Regions from separate parts of the Mus musculus genome. Here regions 1, 3, 4 and 5 are each reported to be linked to region 2. The links are microRNA targets in miRTarBase. Many come from high-throughput screens and were not tested one by one. Region 2 holds a microRNA gene; each other region holds the end of a gene's coding sequence.

Region 1 (4,000 bases), not on the chromosome of region 2:
GCCAACAGACACCAGTCAGGCCTAGAGATCCAGCCTCACTGCCACTTGCCTTACCCCAGCTCCAGTCCCTTGGTTTGCCTTTTTAAATAGTGATGCTAGCTCTCTCCTTCTACTGTAGAGAGGAACCTCAACCCCAAAGCAGCCTGCCTTAAGAGAAGAGAAGAAGAAAAAGTCTCTGCTGCGTCAGCAGAGCCGCCCAACACGTTGCCAGGAGCCCATCCTGGGCTTAGTGAGTCTACCAACCCTATGGGTCATCTGTAAACATCAGCCAGGTGAGTGTGGGTCTGAGAGGGAGGTATAAGGACATCACTTCATTTTACAGTGGTTAGACTGCAGAGCAGCAGCTCTCTGTGGTGGGCCATGGTGATTGTAAAGGCCACACATAATTTGGTAAAGTTATGTAATTGGGAATACAATGATCTATGGGCCTTCCTCTTGTCTTATCAAAGCCAGTGTCATTTTAGAGCAATTACTGTTCACATTGTTTGAACAGCTGATGGCTCATAAAGAAGTGCCAGGTCTGAGTCGGCATGTGTTGTGTGCTCATGCTCCAAGAAGAGGACATCACAGTGACTCCTTTCTCAAACTGTCCCTGTTCCCACCCTCGCTCCACATTCTTCTTGTCATAAGTACTGGGTTCGACTCTTTTCCATGACTGTACACTTCCACCTGGGTCCTTGGATGGAGATTGTGAGAGCAGCTGCTGTGCTCTTCTAGTCATGAATTGAGCACACTCTAGAACCCACTGAATGTAAAGATGTGAGGCGATAAACCCAAAGTAGCCCTCTTTGCTGGAGTTTTACTTACAAAGGCTTAGTTGCAAAGTTAATATTTAAGAAGCTGATCAATGTGAGCTATAATTAAATATTTCAAACTAGCATTTTAACTAGCATCATGGATTAAGAGAAGAACTGGTAATTTTATTTTTAAAATGTTTGGGTTTTGGTTTTTTTGTTTTTGTTGTTGTTGTTGTTTTTGGTTTTTTTGTTTTGTTTTGTTTTTGAGACAGGGCTATACTATGTAACCCTCTCTGGCCCTAGAACTTACTCTGTAGACCAGGCTGCCCTTGAACTCACAGAGATCTGCCTGCTTCTACCTCCCAAGTGCTGGGATTGAGGGCATGTGCTGCCACTCCCAACCATGACTTCATGTTTATAACCAGCTTTAAGCATTATATAATTATTTTCTTATATTTTTCAACAGATTTAAAATAGTAGAGGCAAATGGATGGAAGCAGAAATTATACCAAATATAGTTTCTCATTTTGAGGTAAAAGTCTGGAAATTGATAGAATAGTTAGTAAGTAAACTGCTCTTTAATGTCAGATTTGGTTTATGCCACCACTCCTAGGATCAAATTAGACTGCAGTGGAAAAGGGGAAAAGGAAGATAGGTCAACATGCTGGTAGTCAGTTATCACTGTAACCGCAGCATCCTGGAGGGAACGCCTAAACCACTGCCCACAGATACCTCCAGTCATCATGTAGTCACAGAGTCCTCAGGCAAGAGCTTGTTAATTCACACATTCTCTAAAAGGCAAGCCATTGACCTATATTTTATAGAAAACAGAGTCTAGGAAAGTAATGAATCCATCTTATAAATAAATGTTGGTGTCTTTCGATAAAAACACACCACTGTTTCTCAGGGCAGAGGTGAGTTTTTAAGTTGATAGGTCTAGAAGATCAGTAATGAGAAACAGCTTCATACAAAGCTCAAGTGCTGAGCTTCCCTCAGACTGAAAAGAACTTAGAGTCAGCATCACACTGGACGCAGAACCTGTCTTGTTCCCTGTCTACTGTCGTTCTCTCTTAGTTACCTCCAGATCTTTACCTGTTGTACTTCCTGCTGCGTTGGGATCTCTAGCCTTATCTTTCTGTATAATATGGTAACATTCTCACCGAGAGGCCGAGGAGATGGCTCAGCGGTTATAAGTGCTTGCCATACAGGCTCGACAGCCTGAGCTCAAGCCCCGGTATCCACATGATGGAAGGAGAAGCCTACTTCTGCACATTGTCCTTAGGCCACCACAGGCATGCAGTGGCAAATGTGCTTCTGCACTTGCACTAATAGTAACAGTAATTTAGGGAACGTACAAAAATATCCAACAATTTGCCACCAATGTAGAACCAAGTAACTTTTTTTTTAAAGATTTACCTATTTATTATATGTGAGTACGCTGTAGCTGTCTTCAGACACTCCGGAAGAGGGCGTTAGATCTCACGGATGGTTGTGAGCCACCATGTGGTTGCTGGGATTTGAACTCAGGACCTTCGGAAGAGTAGTCGGTGCTCTTAACCGCTGAGCCATCTCACCAGCTGTTACCAAACAGTATTATTGCCTATCATCTAATAAGAAAGTGGAAATATGATTTTTCCTAATTATATTCCTATTATAAAAGGTTGTAATGGCATTTTCAGGATTATTAAAATATACATTGTAATGGGAATGTATATGAATGTATAAAGTTTGAACTAATAAGATAATTACTTAAAATCTTTTTTTTTTCTTCTCCCCGAGATAGGGTTTCTCTGTACAGCCCTGGCTATCCTGTAACTTGTTCTGTACATCAGGCTAGTCTCAATTCACAGAGATCTGCCTGCCTCAGCCTCTGGAGTATGGGGATTAAAAGCATGCATCACTACCGCCCATCTATTTCTTAAATTCTTTAGATATATACTTAGTGGGAACCTACCATGGACCAGCAGCTAAGACTTCATAACTTTCTGTTGAGGAAAAATAAATATAAACCATTAACATGGGTGGGCTGCTGAGTGGGTGGACTCTAAGGTCCGGTATTGCCAGCTCACCTGCTCCCAACATGAGTTTGCATAATTGGCTGACTAAGCTGATGTACAAACTTTTAATGGAAGGTTCCCTGTACACACACATGGTAAAACTCTTGCAATTACAGACCTAGTCCCTTTCCTTGGAAGTTTCACTTTCCATGATTCCAGTTACTTAGAGCCAACAGTAATCCATAAACAATTTGCAATGAAGGCTGGGCATGGTGGCACATCCTTTTCATTCCAGCATTCTGAGGCAGATGCAGGGATTATGAGCTCTAAGTTAACCTGGTCTTCATAGCAAATTCTAAGCCAGCCAGAGATACGTGAGACCCTGTCTCCAAAAAGGAAACATAGACTTATAATGTTATGTGCTCTGTTTTATTGTTTATTGTTGCCCATGTACTACTATGCCCAACTTGTAAACTTTATCCTAAGCATTTATGTATAGGGAAAAAAATCACGGTGCAAGTAAGATAATGTGCACAGTTTCAGGCATCCAGTGAGGATCTTGGGCCATAGCCTTTCAGATCAGGAGGGACTTCTGATACCTAAAGGCTCTTGAGTAAGTCACTTGAACTGGCCTAGCGCAAACCTAAGTATAATGAACAATAACTGGGATTTGTAGAGTAATGTTATTTTTAATAATTGTTATACTTTATAATCAAATATACTAACTGTCCTCTTCCTCCCTGTCACAGTTCCAGAGTCATCAGTAGGCTAAATAGAAGGTGACCTCTCCTCATAAGATTTGGACAACTCAGATTATCTGAAGACACAAACCTGGCAGGAGGGAGAAGAAAAAGCAAAACACTTGAAACCAGAAACTCATATGTAATCCTGTGATCAAAGCAACTGGTCAGCACTTCATCAGACGTGAGCATAGGAAGCTCAGCAGAGACCGTCGGCCGTGAGGTGTTTGCAGCATATCACTCTGCTGTAATCAGTGTGTCGCTTCTGCACAATCAGAGACTGTCTCATCTCTCCACTCAACGTGGAAGTTGCCTTGTGCCTAAACTGAATTGACAAATGCATTGTAACTACAAATTTTATTTATTGTTATGGAACTGTGAGGTCTACATATAAAGGGAAAAGTTCATGTGGGAAGCTGATGTACACTCAGCTGATGCCAGCATTGTTAAAGCTGTTCACAGAGCAGTGGCAACCATTGGCCCTTAGCATTCCCGGCATACCTGTTAGTGTCTTAAAAAGGAAGGG
Region 2 (4,152 bases):
AACACACACACACACACACACACGTATAAAAGCAAGCACACACACACCAAGGTATGGCATTCATCGATCCATTTGAATGATATATGTCTTAGAATGTTACTGATTATGCAGTAGAAGGACAGTGAATGGTCTCACTCACAAGGTGTAAACAATTGGCATTGTCAGGAGGATCAGGAGTTCAATTTCATGCTTAACTTCATGAGCAGTTAGAGATCATCCTGGAATAATGTGATGGCCCCTATGTATGTGCCTGTGTGCATAAGTGCGCGCATGTATATGCGTGTATATTTTATGCATATACATACACACACCTACACACACATGCACACAGACATGCGGGAATGGCCCTCACGGATCCATTTGAATGATATGTGACCTACTGCTTTGGAGGTTATGTATGACTGGGCCAGGGTGAGGTCTCACAAACCACGGGAAAACCCTTGGTAGAGTCGGGAAGATCAGGAGTGCAAGTTCATGGTAAAGGCATGATGAGTTAGAGGTCATCCTGGCATTCATGTGATTGCCCCTATGTATGTGTATATGTGTTTATGTGTGTGTACATGTACATATGTGAATATGATATCCATATACATACACGCACACATAAGACACATATGAGCACACAGGCACACAGGAATGGCACTCACTCATTGATCTATGTGACTGTGAGCTTTGGAGATTATGTGTGACTAGGTCAGGGAGAGTTATCACCCATCATGTTAAAAATGCTTGTTAGAATCAGGAGGTCAGGAGTTCAAATTCATGCTTTATTTCATGATGACTTAGAGATCTGCCTGGGAATCATGTGATGTCCCCATGTATGTGTATATGTGTGTAACTGTGTGTGGATTGTGTATATGAATATACATACCTACACACACATAGACCCATCCACAGACACAGACACACACACGCATGCCACTCCTCAGTCCATTTGAATGATATGTGACTTAGAGTTTTAGAGATTCTGCAGTACTCAATAGGGAGAGGTCTCACACCACAGAGTCAGGTGGATCAAGAGTTCAAATTCATGTTTAACTTCATGATGAGTTAGAGATCAGCATGCTATTCATGTGATGACCATAAAGAATGTGCATGTGTGTATAGCTTTGTGCACATACACTTCTCTATATGAATATGCATATACACGCATGCACACACACTCACTCACAGGAATGGCCAGAGCTATGTCTCAGTTAACTTACCAGGTAAAACGCTTGCCTTTTGGATCAGCAGTTCAAATTCCTGAATAACTTCAAAATGACCTAGGGATCAGCCTGGCCTCATGGCATCCTCCCCCCATATATGTGCATGTGTGTATAGTTTTGTGTATATGTACATGTGTGTATACAAATATACATCTACATACAGACAAACATAAACACACAGGCACGCACACACACACACACACACACGCGCACACACACAGAGGAATGTCACTCATTGATCCTTTTGAATGACAGGTGACTCAGAGCTTTAGAGATTATGCAGGGCTGGGCCAGTGAGTGCTCTCACTCACAAGGTGAAAATGCTTGCTTGCCAGACTTTGGATGACCAGGAATCAAAATTCATGCTGAACTTCATGATGAGTTCGTGATCAGCTTCGGAGTCTTGTGATGACCCTAGTATATATGCCTGTGTGTATATGTATGTGTGCATGTACATGTGTGTATATGAATATACATATACATACACACATACCCATACAAACATGCATACAAACACACAAAAATTGGCACTCATCCATCTATTTGAATAATTAGTGACTTAGAGTCTTAGAGATTCTGTATGACTGGGGCTGACAGAGAGAGGTCTCAGTCACCAGGAGAAGACTTGCTAGATTCAGGGTGATCAGGAGTGCACATTCATGTTAACGGCATGATGAGTTAGAGATCAGCCTGGCATTCATGTGATGCCTCCATGTATGTGCATGTGTGTATAGTTGTGTGTGGATGTGTGTATTTGCATATAAATAACATACACACACACACACAAGTAAACACAAGTGCACAAACAGACACAGGAATGCCATTCATCGATCCATTGGAATGATAAGTGATTTAGAGTTTTAGAGATTTTGAAGTAGAGACGGTGAATTGTCTCACTCACCAGTTGTAAACGATTGAAAGAGTCAAGAGGATCTGGAGTTCCAATTCACTCCTATGTTCAGCTAGATAGCATCCTGGTATTCATGTGATATCGCCCATGTGTGTGCATGTGAGTATAGTTGTGTGTGCATGTCTGTATTTGAATATACATAACATACACACACTAATGCAAGTACACACACACACACACACACACACACACACTCACACCAATGCCACTCATCAATCCATTGGAATGATGTGTCACTTAGAGTATTAGAGATTATGCAGTACTTGGCCAGTGAGTGCTCTCAGTCTCTAGGTGAAAATGCTTGCTAGAGTTAAGAGTATTCAGGAGTTAAAACACATACTGACCTTCATGAGGATTTAGAGATCAGCCTGTGATTCATGTGATGGCCCCATGATTGTGCATGTGTATATAGTTGTGTGTGCATGTTCATGCATGTATTTGCATATACATAACATACACGTATAAACGCAAGCACACACACATAGAGACACAAGAATGGCTTTCATCGATCCCTTTGAATGATATGTCACTTAGCATATTAGAGATTATGCAGTACTTGGCCAGTGAGTGCTCTTATTCTCTAGGTGAAAATGCTTGCTAGAGTTAAGAGTATCAGGAGTTTAAATTCATGCTTATCCTCATGAGAGATCAGCCTGAGATTCCTCCATGTATGTGCATGTGTGTATAGTTGTGTGTGCATGTTCATGTCTATATTTGAATATACATAACATACACACACACGTATAAACGCAAGCACACACACAGACACAGGAATGGCATTCATTGACCCATTTAAATGATATGCCACTCAGAGTAGTAGAGATTATTCAGTATGGGGCAAGTGAGTGCTCTCATTCTCTAGGTGAAAATGCTTACTATAGTTAGGAGTATCAGAAGTTCAAATTTATGCTTATCTTCAGCATGATTTAGAGATAAGCCTGTGATTCATGTGATGCCTTAAGTGTACATGCAGGTTTGTATAGTTGTGTGTGTATGTTCATGTGTCTATATGGATATACATAACATATACATAGACATATAAACCCTAGCGTGCACACACACACACACACACACACACACACACACACACACACACACACGAATAACATTCATAGATCCATTTATATGATATGCCACCTAGAATATTAGAAATTATTCAGTACTGGGCCAGTGAGTGCTGTCATTTTCTAGGTAAAAATGCTTGCTAGAATCAGGAGTATCAGGAGTTCAAATTCATGCTTATCTTCAGGAGGATATAGATATCTGCCTGTGATTCATGTGATTGCCACCCATGTATGTGCATGGGTGTATAGTTTTGTGTACATGTGCATGTGTGTATATGAATAGACATAACATGCACATACATATAAACACAAGCACACACACACACAGAGACACAGGAATGACACTCATCGATCCATCTGAATGATAGGTGACTTAGAGTTTTAGAGATTATGCAGTAGTGGGACAGTGAATGGTCTCAATCACCAGGTGTAAACCACAGAGTCAGGAGGATCAGGAGTTCAAATCCATGCTTAATTTCAGTTGGAGATCATCCTGGTATTTCTGTGATGCTACCCATGTATGTGCATGTGTGCTTACTTGTATGTGCATGTGCATGTGTTGATATGAATATACATAACATAAACACACGTGTATATGCAGGCACACACACACAGAAGAAATTGCATTCGTCGTTACGTTTGAATGATATATGACTTAGAGCTTTAAGAGTATGTATTACTGGGCCAATGAAACGTCTTACTTACCAGTAAAAATGTTTGTTATATTCAGATGGATCAGGGGTCCAAATTCATGAGTAATTTCAAAATGACATAGAGATCAGCCTGACTTCACGGGGTTCCCCCCAATGTATGTTTATGTGTGTATAGTTTATGTGCATGTGCATGTGTGCATATGCATATACATATACATCCATACAAACATATAGAAGTAGCACAGATACACAGACACACACACACACACCCATCAATCATTTTGAATGACAGGTGACTTAGAGTTTTAGAAATTATG
Region 3 (4,000 bases), not on the chromosome of region 2:
TAGTGTTTACTTTGCCTTATAAATAGAACTGATAGTTTTGCCATAGTGTTTTCCTGTTTTAGTGATGTAACTCTAGTTACAAACTTCTATATTCCTGTTCTTTCTGTCTCCTTTACCATATTTACTGAGAAATAAAAATATTTTCAGCTATAATGCTTTTATATGGGTGACTAAACTTGTTTTTCAGAAAGCTTTATTATTTATGTTAGGCTTCATGAAAATTGGCACTCAGGATTGCCAAAAGAGAAGTTCAAGGCTAGTCAGGGAGGAATACATAGCATGACACAATCTCAAAAGAAAAAATGGAAGGAGGCTGGGGAGAGAGAGAAAAGAGCCTAATCTGTAGGGAAAATGTTGGGAGGTTTATCCAAACCAGGATCTTACATATTTAGCAAATATATTCTTTGAGAAGATACTGAGGAAATGTTCACCTTACCAACTTTCTAATATTATTATTCTTCAGGTTGAATCTCCAGTAATCTGTAAAATTCTAGATACAGCTGATGAAAATGGACTTCTTTCTCTCCCCAATTAAAAGATATTAAAGTTGAAAGAAAGAAAGATGATTGAAAATCATCACTTTCTCCTGACCACATCTCTTTATAGAGTCTCACCATTGGACCTTGTCTGTAGTATCACAAAAAGGACTGGCAACCACACTGTGAAATTCACGTGTATATAAGAGATTACAGATAAACTTGTAAGGCAGATCCTTGTCTCACTTCATTCATTTTGGTCTTGTATGAACTGATTGCGTTTGGCTTTGCTTGGGTAATGTAATTTCAAAACAAATCTGATCCAAGCAGTTTAGTCCAGCTTATCAAATGTCATATACCTTGTACTTGTTAAAGTATTTTAAATAATATACTTACTGAATAAATTACAGCACATATGACAAGCTAATGAAGTAAAGATAATTTAGAAAGAAGTTTCTAGAAGATTGTATAAAATGAGGGGCCACATAAAATGTATAAAATTCTAGTGCCTGAAATCCTTTCAGCAAATGTTTCTGTGACAGTTGCTCGCTGTCAAGCACTAAACTAGAAGTGGAAATAGAGGAGAGCCTCACAGATAACCTGAGATCACTCAAGAAACTGGTTTTTTTTTTTTTTAAATGAGAGGTTGCTCTTTTTCTTGAACTTTTATGATTCTTACCATGAATGAGTTTACTACAGAGTACATGTCTAGTGCAGACAGTTCGTGACTCATCTCTACATTAGAATGGTTCATTCTAAAATTCACTGTGCTGGCTCTCGTACGTGCCTGCTGTATAGTATAAATCTTAGTTCTGGACAGCTTTACAGCACAATATTTATTTTAAAGAGAATAAAATGTTATTAAGCAGTCTTTTCATGTAATTAGTGGCAGATTATTCAGTTACTTTATTTTCTCCTTTATCCTTTTTGCATATATTTTATCCATATGAATCTGAACAAGGACAAAAAAGTGGCCATAGGGACTGAGAGAATACTTTAGAGGCAGAGCATGTTTGAGGCCCTCAGTTCAGTCTCCCACAACAAAAATAAAAAGTTGGATATTGGGGTTCATGCTTTTGTTCCCAGCACTAAGTAGACAGATTCAGGGGATCAGAAAGTTCAAAGATAGCCTGGTCTACGCCAAGGATAGCCAGTTCTGCACCAACCAGGGCAACAAAGTTGAAAGCCTATCTTAAACAGTCAAAATAAAAGGTGGTCCAGATACTCCTGAAAACCAGTATTTCTGATAAAAGCTATATTAAGAAAGGGTTTATGACCAGGCCTAATGGCATGGCATTAATTAATTAATTAATTAATTAATGTAATGCCAGCACTTGAGAAGTAGATACTAGAAGAATCAGAAGTTCAAAGTCTGCTACATAGTGAGTTTGAAGCCAGCCTGGGCTGCAGGAGACCTTGTCTTAGAAATTAATTAATTAGTTAATAATTAATTAATATGTGAACTTTTTTATTCTACACCAAGTACATTCAGCACTTTTGGGTATCCTACAATTGATTTAATTAATTCAATGCCTTTATTGCTAGGGCGGGGGGTTTAGTGGTAAAGCAGTCTAGGACAGTGGTTTAAAACCTGTGGGTAATGGCCCCTTTAGGGGTTAAATGACCTTTTCATGGGGGAGGGGTGTCACCTAAGTCCATCAGAAAACATATTTACATTATGATTCATAACAGTAGCAAAACTACAGTTAGAAGTAGCAACAAAAAGTTTTATGGTTGAGGTCACCACAACATGAGGAGCTGTATTTAGGGATCACAGCAGTAAGGTAAGTCTAGGAGGTGAAAGAATCTGGCTGGAGACTGGAGATGCAGCTCATTGGCAGACTGCTTAGCAAACACAAGATCCTGGATTCCATTTCCAGCACAGCACAAGAAATGAAGAAAAGAAAAAAGTAAATGACTCAACATAGTGTCTTAACCCCAGAACTTGGAAAACAAAGAAGTATTGCCATGAATTTGAGACCAATCTGATTTGCCATACACTGTGAATTCTAGGCTAATCTAGAAAGAGTGAATGAGATGAGACACTTTCTTAAAAAAAAAAAAAAAAAAAAAGCAAGCTGGGCATACCTTTTATGCCCACTTGAGAAAGCAGAGGCAGGTAGGGTTACTGTGAGTTTGAAACCAGCCTGGTCTACATACTAAGTAATCAGTTATTCCTACATAGCATAGAATGGCCTATATAACAAAAAATATGTAAACTTTTTTATTCTACACCAACTATACTCAGCACCTTTGGGTACCCTACAATTAATTTTAGTTCTCATGCTTACCTACTTGGACTTAGCATCATATGTCACAGGTAAAAAGGATTCAACCTTACAAAGTTGCTCCACATCAGATGTCAGCTACAAATATTGCAAGTACCAAGTTCTAATTTTATATACGTGTGTGTGTGTGTGTGTGTGTGTGTGTGTGTGTGTGTGTGTGTGTGTGTGTGTGTGTGTGTGTGTATGCATGCCTATTTGCCTATATGTGCACCACATAGTTACAGGAAGTTGGGAGCTACCCAAAGTGGGTGCTGGGAACTAAACTCAGGTCCTTTGAAAGATGAGCAAGTGTTTTTAAACACCGAACCATCTATGAAGTCCCTGGATTCTAATACCTTTTACCAGACAGCTATAAATCAGTCTCCAGACCTACTACTTTTTCTCAAAAGTTTGCTAGAATGGCTCACAGAACTCTGGTAAATACTTAGTTTAACAGTTATAAAGGAGAGAAGCACTAATAAAGTCAAATTAAAGAGGTAAATAAGGCGAGGAGGTTGGGCTAGAGTTCAGTTTCTATACTCTCCAGATCTCAAGAATTCAAAAGTTTATATGGAGCGTGAAACCCACCCTTCCCTAATACACACACACACACACACACACACACACACACACACACACACACACAGAAGGGGGGGGGGGGGAGAGGGAGCAGGAGAGGGATCACCGGATGGGATTGAAGTTCCAGCCTTGACAATCATTTGGTCCTTCTGGTAAATGGCCTCATTTGGAGACTGTCTAGGGGTTGTGATTTTTCAGCATAGATGTTGAAAGCAAGCTATATTCTGTTAATCTTGGTTTTTCAGGCTGTGCCTCAACTCTGAGACTCCATTTTACAAGCAGCATTTGAGTAGACAGAAACAAAGACAGATGGGTGACTCTGTACTTTGCAAACAACACAATCCATCTGGCATCACTGACAAGGCACAACTGATAAAGTAAAAACACTATAATTTTGTCAAATTAATATCACACACAACTATGTATGTTAAAATTGTATCAAGAAATTCAGCAAGAACTTACTGAACTTCCTAAACTGAGGAAGAGATGTGGCAACCTAATTTGGACCCAGTTAGAGGAGGACACCTTTAATAGCCCTGGGAGTGACAGCTCCATCTGCTTACCTGGAAACTAAAGCACTTGTGAGTTTATTGCTATCCAATTCTGACATGTAGGAAGGTAAGATAAGGATGAGGGCTACTCTAGGTATGCCCATATCCCTTCTAGATTATGTTTTCC
Region 4 (4,000 bases), not on the chromosome of region 2:
AATCATGGGAGGCATAGAAAGAGAGGTGTCTGAGTGGGAGAGGGGAGAGGGAAGGGAAGTGGGACATGATCAGATATGGTGGTGTTTTTAGAGGGGGAGACAGGAGAAAAGCCCAGAGGGTCAGGAGAACAAATGGAAATTTGCAGCTGAGAGAGTGGGGATCAAGGGGAATCTCTAGATGGCTCCCAGATGTGAGAGGCTCCCAGGAATCAATGGGAATGACCTTAGCCAAAATACCCAACAGTGGGGAGATGGAATCTGAAGAGACCACCTCCAGTAGAGAGATAGGGCCTCCAGTGGAGGTTTGGAGTCACCAACCTACCTTCAAACTTTTTGATCCAGAATTGCTCCTGTCTAAAGAAAATACAGGGACAAAATTGGAGCAGAGACTAAAGGAAAGGTCATCCAGTGACCGGCCCAACTTCGGATCCATCCCATGGGCAGACATCAAACCCTGACACTATTATGTTGTGATAGCAAACAGGAGTCTAGCATGGTTGTCCTCTGAGAGGCTCTACCAGCAGCTTACTAAGACACATGCAGATGCTTACAGCCAACCATTGGAGTGATGTTGGGATCCCTGCGGAAGAGTTAGGGGAAAGACTGAAGGAGCAAAGAGGAGAGCAGATGAGGTGAAGAACTCTTGGAGGGAAGACTGGGAAGGGGAGCAACATCTGGAATGTGAATGAATAAAGCAGTTTTTAAAAGTAAAATAAAGTATAACCTTTAACTGAGCATGCTTAGTTGCATCCATCTAACTGAGTATGCTCAGATGTGCATGTCCCTGAAGTGCTTTCTCATATGCATATCTGTAGGCTTTCCGAATAAAACCCCTGCTGTTCCCAGTTCCAATGAAAGCATGGCCTGGTACCATTTCTCAAGCTCACTCACCTGCTGCAGGTAATCTTTCTCCACTCTTTTCTCTTGGCATTGCTTGTTTTAGCTTTCTATTCATGTGATACATACCCATTGTATGGCATAAGAGTCCTTTTTTGTTTGTTCATTTGGTTGATTGTTTAGTTGTTTTGGTTTTCGGAGGTAAGTGGCTGTTGTTGCAGTTGTTTATATTTTATTTTTGGTAGGCTTTTTTTTTGAAACACAATATACACTTGTCACACAGAATGTTTCACCTTTTATTTTAGACTTGGATCTTCTGCAATCAATTAGCAAATTGCTGCATTTCTTGAGAAAGCATTAAACCCACTTTATACAATTATACTAAAATAAGTAAAACCAAATTCACACTTTTAGATATTAGAAGCGTTAAAACAACATAGTTTACACCAAGGCTGTAAGAACTATGGAATTACAAATTTTCCTACTATGTGACTTGTTTATTTATTCTATGTTTTACTTAAGAGATAAAAGGTTAAATATAGATGCCTTATATTTATATATTTATTTATATATAACTGCCCAAATGCTCACAGAAAGGTGAAGTGATCACGAGGGGCTTTAGAAAGCCAGTGTGACACTGATATTGAATCCTCTTGATGCAAACTAGACTTCCAGTCTGTACTGAGCTGTGATGGGTACAGTTATATCTCTCTTGTGTTTTTCCGGCAGCATCCAGAGACTGCAAGACAGACATAAACCTATCTCTAGCAGCAATGGCATGACAGACAGAAAACTACCAGGACCTCCTTCTTATCTATGTTGCTGCTGCATGTATGGAGACTGGGTTTCCAATTAATGTGACAGTACTTGGCTGTATCTGTGTCCAAAGCTCCACTGCATCCTTTATTATCACCCTGGATGAGCTACAGGTTGCTCAATTTTAAAATCCTAATTTGGAAAAATTACAGAAAATCATACAAAATTTAAGTTTTAAAAGAAATATCTGTGGAGTGCTTCCCAGAAGTCTGAAGCTTATGAACACATTCCAGACACTTCTGAAGGCCACAGCAGAGGCCCGTTCTGAGGCCATGATGACCATGGTTCAAGTGCATGACTGATGGACAACTTTTAGACAATTTACTGTTATTTGCACCCAAGACACACAGCCTCTAAATTAGTTTTCTCAGTTTGTACTTGAAAATTACCCCAATCTTCCCACAACTCTGACACCGTAGGAACCAATCAATTCTCATACACCAAAATCAGAGGGAAATTTAGCCTTCCTCTTGCAAGAGAGAGTATTTCCCTTCTGCATATTTTTGAAGGGAACATTGAATACAAATAACTGAGAAATAATTGACTTTCATGCCAAACTTTGTAAACAAAGTCTGCTGGCAAGAGTCTTGGTTCCACATATAACCAAACTTTCCCATAGGAAAAATGATACTTGAAAATCATATCATTTCTTCCTGGGGATCATCCTAAACATATCGTTTAAAAGACGCTATCACTGATGAGTCTGGTTACTCCAGGCCTCGAGGAGGAGGCCTGGAGCTTGTCTTCCATAAGTAGAGACTAAAGAGAGGAAAGTAGGTGTTGACTGTTCCCTGTGGGTAATCAGAAGCAGATGTTCCCCGGGACTTTAGAATTGGACAAAATTTAGATGTTCCTTGTGGTTAGGTAAGTGTCCAGACAAGAAAAAGCTAGGGATGCAAGGCGGTTCCCGTACCTGGATCTCACTGAAGGGAGGTCCTGGAAGAATACTCAGGGAAGGGGAACCATAGTTGGAACAGGTCTCATCTTTTATTTCTCATATTCCTCTAAGTTAAGAAGACTGTGAGAGTAAGATATATGTATTATTTACAAAGTTCTTGGTCCAGAAAAACTGTACATAGTTACAAGGAAATGGTCTAAGTTGTATGGGAAGCCTGTGAAGGCTATGAGGCAGGAAGGAAATTTTGGACTACTTTACAGAAGCTACAAAGGACCAAAGATTTAAAGAGCTGTTGGCTGGTGCACCACCCTGTGCAAAAGCAGCTCAGAAACGTTCTGTACACCTGACTCCTCTAGAGGGAGCTGGAACCTCACTCTCCGGTGATTTCTCTGTACTCTTGGCTTTTGCAGCCTCGGTTAAAGTCTTTTTAGGGCCATATAGATCGGCTTCGGTAAAACGAAGAAAGGTGGGGCATACTGAGCAGGTGATTATCTCTATTCTTGTCAGTCACAGCTAGGTTCTAGCCCCCTTCACCACCACCACCACACCACCACACCACCATACCACCACACCACCACACCACCACACCACCACACCTCCACACCACCACACCTCCACTCTAACACACACACACACACACACACACACACACACACATCTCCAGTGAGGCGTGGCCAGGCAGTTAGAGTGTTCCTAAGAAGCATCAGGCCAGGCTGTTTACCAGGGAGGTCATCCGTGGTGGAAAGCAAAGAAACAAAATACACAGACTTAACGCTGAGGAAGAGATGCCTGGGACATCCTAGGAGCCTACTCACAGTGAAATAGAGAGAGAATTAAAATCACGTTCCAACAACACTGCCCCACCATTTACCCTACGTTCAGGTGTCAAGCCCTGCCCTCAGCTGTGGGGACAAAATAGTAAGGTGCCCTGGCCCAAGCTGTCCTCAGGCATGCTACACACCAGCCTCACCTCAAGGCCGGGCAAATCCCGGATCAGTCCTGGTTAGGGCCTGTGGTATCAGTCCTGGGTAGGGCCTGTGGTACTGAATGCCTGGAATGGGCCTCAGGATTTCGGGCTGCACTTGGGAACCACAGTCCCGGAATTCTCCTGAACCCAGCTGGCAGTGCTGCCTGCGGTGGAAAGAGGTGGAAAGGGCATCAGGCTGAACGGCATGACACCAATTGCCGGAGGCTTCTGCGGAAGCTGTCGTCCAGGAAGGCATAGAGGAAAGGGTTGAGGCAGCTGTTAGCATAGCTCAGGCTGGTGATGAAGTAAGAGATGCCGATGACCAGCGGCGTTTGCGGGAGGTCGGTGGTGAGGGCCACTATGGTACTCAGGTGATAAGGCGTCCAGCAGAGGAGGCACACAGCCAGAATCGCCGCCACCAACAAGGTCACGCGCTTCTTGGCACGATCCAGGGCCTTGGCGTGGCTATCTAGCTGGATAGC
Region 5 (4,000 bases), not on the chromosome of region 2:
GTGAAGACACGGGGGCTCAGGAGAGGCAGGAGGATGAAGGACAAGGCTACTCAGTGTGAAATGCTCAGAACCAGAGAGAAACTGGGACCTTCGTCAGGGAGACCCAGAATCACTCCCCAGGGCAAACATTTGGAGAGGTACAACACCGGAACACAGCATGTCTGCATCCTAAAAGAATTTCTACATTTCCCCTCACTTCCTACCATTCACTTGCCTTCTAAAAGTTCCTTGAAATGTGAAATAATCATGTTTATTTCAATATGAGATTCTCTGTCTCCATTCTAATTGAGTTCAGGTGGTTCAGAGATGCCATCTTTGAAACACGAATCTGGCAGTGACCTAAGGGTACCAAGAGGCCACACAAGTGTATCCTTTAGGCACAGGGCTTGGCAGTCTTTTTCATTTGGTTTTATGAAGGTCTGAGCTTTTCTTAGGACCTGTGTGTCCCTGAATTGATCCGTTTCTGTGCCCAGTCCGAAGGAGTATAGAGCAGGATGAACGAAACAGGGGGCTCAGCTCCCTAACACCCACGTATGCGGAGGGGAATCACACAGCCAAGTCCCCATGCAGCACACTGAATATTTACCTCCTAATGTGCTTTTAATGTGCGCTTTCTTGGGTGAATATTTACTGTAGAATATTAAATGTGAGATTCCTCTTTTTATGGGCCATTTGAAGTGATTGATTCTGTTTGCGAATTCCTGTATCTTTGCCCGTAATGGCTATCTATTGTAATGGCCTCTGCCAAATGTTCTTGTGTTGAAATAACAGAAGCCATGGATCGCCCAGCTGTGGCATCGTATTATTGTGGTCTTAAAAGCTGGGAGGAGGCTGATGATAGCACTGGGGAGAGACGAGAAGGGAACATACCAAGCCAAGCGAGCAGGGCTCCAAATACCCCGGAACCACTGGGGTCTGTAAGCAGGGTTGTGTGTCCTGTGTATGTTTAATGGTGTTGGGTGGCATTACGTCGGACGGTTGTGAAATGATAGCGGTAAGACAGGAACTCAATTGCCCACAACCAGGTCCATCAGCACAAGCCGTCCGCTCTCGGCGTCTTCTTTAATGCAGCGGTAAAACTGTGACCCAAGTGATCATTTCTTACACTTAGCTACACTATATTATAGCCACAAGTGAATTTAAAATATTTTTCTGTGAAAGAGCCAAGACTTTGGGCGTTTGGTTGCTTTTTATTCTTTTGAGTATTTGAGGGAAGGAAATTAGACAAAGGGCGTATCTTGATGTTCATTGTGGGCTTTTCTCCCTTAAACACACACACATACCATACACACCCACATACCCACATATACACCCCCACACATACACACACCACACATACACTCACACCACACACACATACATACCATACACACATACCCACATACACCCACACCCACATATACACACACCACACACACATATACACACACACCACATCCCCACATACACATACTAGCCCCCCACATACACACATAAACACACATACCATATACATACATACATATATATATGTATGTATATATATATATATATATATATCACCACATACACACACCACATATATACACTCCACACACACACATATACACACACATTGCACATACACACACATATATACACACACATAAACACACACTGCACACAAACATACATACCACACCAACACCCATACACGAAACCACACACACATACGCACACCATTCCCCCCATACAGACACACATACATACACACACACACACACACACACACACACACACACACACACCACCCAAAGATACTCAGACAGTAAGATAGTAGATCAGGTCAGATAGTATTCTTACCCCTTGGTAGCTATGCTTTTCCAATATTCCATAAGCATAGGATTTGTCAATGGAACCACTTATATTTCAACAAATAATCTCTTGGAGGGATTGTGAAGTAGCCTGTCAATCAACTGTGCAGTTTACACCCTTCTTCTGTGTATATAAGAAGACTAAACAGGAGGTTGTGCTATGGTAAAAATAAAATTCATTTTCCTACAAACTCAGAAGACACTTGAAGAATGAATTCCACTATGTCTTGGACAGCCATTTAATTTTTTTCTTTTTCTTTTTTACTGACTTTAAATAACTCAAGCCACACCACAATAACACTTTGTCTTTGCTGTCTGAATACCTGGACTGTATCTGCAGCTCCACAATGGCGCCCTGCATAATGAATAGTTCTACTTAATGAAAGGGCATGGGACATTATCACTAATTAAAAAGATGGGAAAGAACTGGTGGTATGAGACACTTTATTCACAAGTCCTGTCCTGTTTGTAGAGAATGCCTGTTCCCTCACGACATTAGCTGCTGCCCTCAAGCCTGTCATTAGACACACTAAAGTCCCTTTGGCACGATGTAAAGAAGAGTCTAGTATTTCTTACTCTTCTGAGCGATACAAGTTTCTAAAATGAAAGTCTATAGTACTACTTGATCGTGGATTTGAATGGAGAGAGGAGTCCTTCATATTCCAAGACTTGCAGCCGGTGGGGTGGAACTGTTCTGTGTTCTCAAAACATGGGCAGCTCTTGGCACTGCCTCCACCCCCTGCCCCCAATTTCTCACTTTCTTAAAGAATCTAGGGATAGTAGTTAGGCAAGAGAGCCCCAGGAGGAGGCGTGATGTCTACCCAGAGGACCCTGACATCTCTACCCTGACTGGAAGTTTCCTCCTACTGTCAGCCCCACATCAATCCAAGTGTCTAGTCCTCCTATAAACGAGAGGCTCTGACTATCTTAGATTTGCAAGAGGAACTCGGGACTTTATCCTACATTCTAAGGAAAGGGGAAGTAGAACTCAAAGAGAAATAGCTTGTATTATCAGTTGCTACTGAAGAAAAAGTAAGGGTATCTTTAAATTTCTCTCATTAGCATCTTTTTGTTTTAATAACACAGTTTTTGGGTTTCAATTTTGTTCTTTTGGACATTTATGTACATTAGAAAGTGTTATAGCTGTTTTTGTTATGAAACAGCAAATTGCCTGAAGCAGAGAGGTTCAAACAATGTTGCACATTTCCACATCAAATACTGATTTCAAGCTAGTAATGGGCATTGTGAATTCAGTAACTCATCAGCCCGATCCTAGCCCATACCAACCACCATTCAGGATTAAAGAGTCAGGAAGAATACATTGCCACATAATCATAATCTATAAAAATACTGCCTAGAGTACACTAAAAAACTCTCAATAAATAAATAGCAGACATTTGCTTTATGAAAATCATTGGAGATGTGCTCTTCGGAAGCATGTCCATACTTTCAGGCCTTTTACAAATCACAAAGTCTGACAAATGACAGAGACTATAGGTCAGGTTAGGTTTCTGATAAAAAAGTCTTTTGACGTGGGTATCTGTAAAGAAATGCAACTAAAAGTGGCGGGCTGCTCCCGGTTCAGTTTCGAAGGCAATACTCCCAGAGACCTGGGGTGTTCCTAGCCATGGCAGTGTCACTGAATCAAGGCTTCAGTTGCTCTTTCCAAGAGACAACACTCATTAGCATGTAAGCGTTCTGGAATGTTCTCTGGCCGCTGGGATCTGTCCATGGTGCTGAAGGACGCCGCTCTTCTCGGTCACCCATTCAGTTCCCGTTTCCCTGCCTAGAGTTTAAGTCCTTCCTCTCCTGCCACACAGCGTGGACACCGCTGTCCACCATGTTCACCCCTCAGAACACAGGCTTACCCTCGGCATGATTCACAGCGGGTGATTCTGGTTTCCAGTCTGGTTGGAAAAAGTGAATGTTGAATGTCCGTGCCCAGTTCTTAAACACCCGTTTCTCTGTAATGAAACGGTGATGACTGCCCTTGCGTCCTCGCTCGTGAGAGAGGTACATTGTACATTCATCGGGTCCTGAAGGCTCATAGTAATGATAGGGTACGGAAGGATGCTTTGGGTCCCTGTGGGAGGAAAGTGGGACAACTGTTAAAGCAAAAGAGAGGAAAATAATGCAAACACCCAAGCCATACCCGACATGGAACACAC

The links. The annotated mature microRNA mmu-miR-669c-3p reads UACACACACACACACAAGUAAA and lies in region 2 at 1,979-2,000, shown strand. An mRNA with a match to its seed (bases 2 to 7 or 8) in the 3' UTR can be bound and repressed. Matches are read on the target gene's strand: a 7mer-m8 pairs with bases 2 to 8, a 7mer-A1 pairs with bases 2 to 7 and ends in A, and an 8mer does both.
Region 1: miRTarBase lists Tcf12 as a target of mmu-miR-669c-3p. The part of its 3' UTR that is shown has no 7-base or 8-base seed match.
Region 3: miRTarBase lists Erlec1 as a target of mmu-miR-669c-3p. The part of its 3' UTR that is shown has no 7-base or 8-base seed match.
Region 4: miRTarBase lists Npbwr1 as a target of mmu-miR-669c-3p. Seed matches in the 3' UTR shown: 7mer-A1 at 3,506-3,512, 7mer-m8 at 3,202-3,208, 7mer-m8 at 3,200-3,206, 7mer-m8 at 3,198-3,204, 7mer-m8 at 3,196-3,202, 7mer-m8 at 3,194-3,200 and 11 more.
Region 5: miRTarBase lists St6galnac5 as a target of mmu-miR-669c-3p. The part of its 3' UTR that is shown has no 7-base or 8-base seed match.

The regions. Positions count from the first base shown.
Region 1 is chr9:71,846,044-71,850,043 of GRCm38, reverse strand. Tcf12 (transcription factor 12) reads left to right here. Exons shown (of 21, transcript NM_011544.3): 20 at 119-272; 21 at 3,484-4,000. The coding sequence ends at 261. Among named protein-coding and RNA genes, the nearest start is that of Cgnl1, 76 kb to the right of the region's middle.
Region 2 is chr2:10,507,381-10,511,532 of GRCm38, forward strand. It overlaps Mir669c (microRNA 669c), which reads left to right and starts at 1,916; the gene lies at 1,916-2,024. All of the region lies in intron 10 of Sfmbt2 (Scm-like with four mbt domains 2), which reads left to right. Mir467d (microRNA 467d) reads left to right here and starts at 250; the gene lies at 250-334. It overlaps Mir466 (microRNA 466), which reads left to right and starts at 538; the gene lies at 538-610. It also overlaps Mir297c and Mir669a-2.
Region 3 is chr11:30,928,312-30,932,311 of GRCm38, reverse strand. Erlec1 (endoplasmic reticulum lectin 1) reads left to right here. Exons shown (of 14, transcript NM_025745.3): 14 at 464-2,528. The coding sequence ends at 535. Among named protein-coding and RNA genes, the nearest start is that of Erlec1, 24 kb to the left of the region's middle.
Region 4 is chr1:5,912,595-5,916,594 of GRCm38, forward strand. It overlaps Npbwr1 (neuropeptides B/W receptor 1), which reads right to left. Exons shown (of 1, transcript NM_010342.1): 1 at 1,113-4,000. The coding sequence ends at 3,710. Among named protein-coding and RNA genes, the nearest start is that of Npbwr1, 2.8 kb to the right of the region's middle.
Region 5 is chr3:152,817,828-152,821,827 of GRCm38, forward strand. It overlaps St6galnac5 (ST6 (alpha-N-acetyl-neuraminyl-2,3-beta-galactosyl-1,3)-N-acetylgalactosaminide alpha-2,6-sialyltransferase 5), which reads right to left. Exons shown (of 5, transcript NM_012028.5): 5 at 2,058-3,915. The coding sequence ends at 3,684. It also overlaps a transcript of Pigk not described here. Among named protein-coding and RNA genes, the nearest start is that of Gm40181, 64 kb to the left of the region's middle.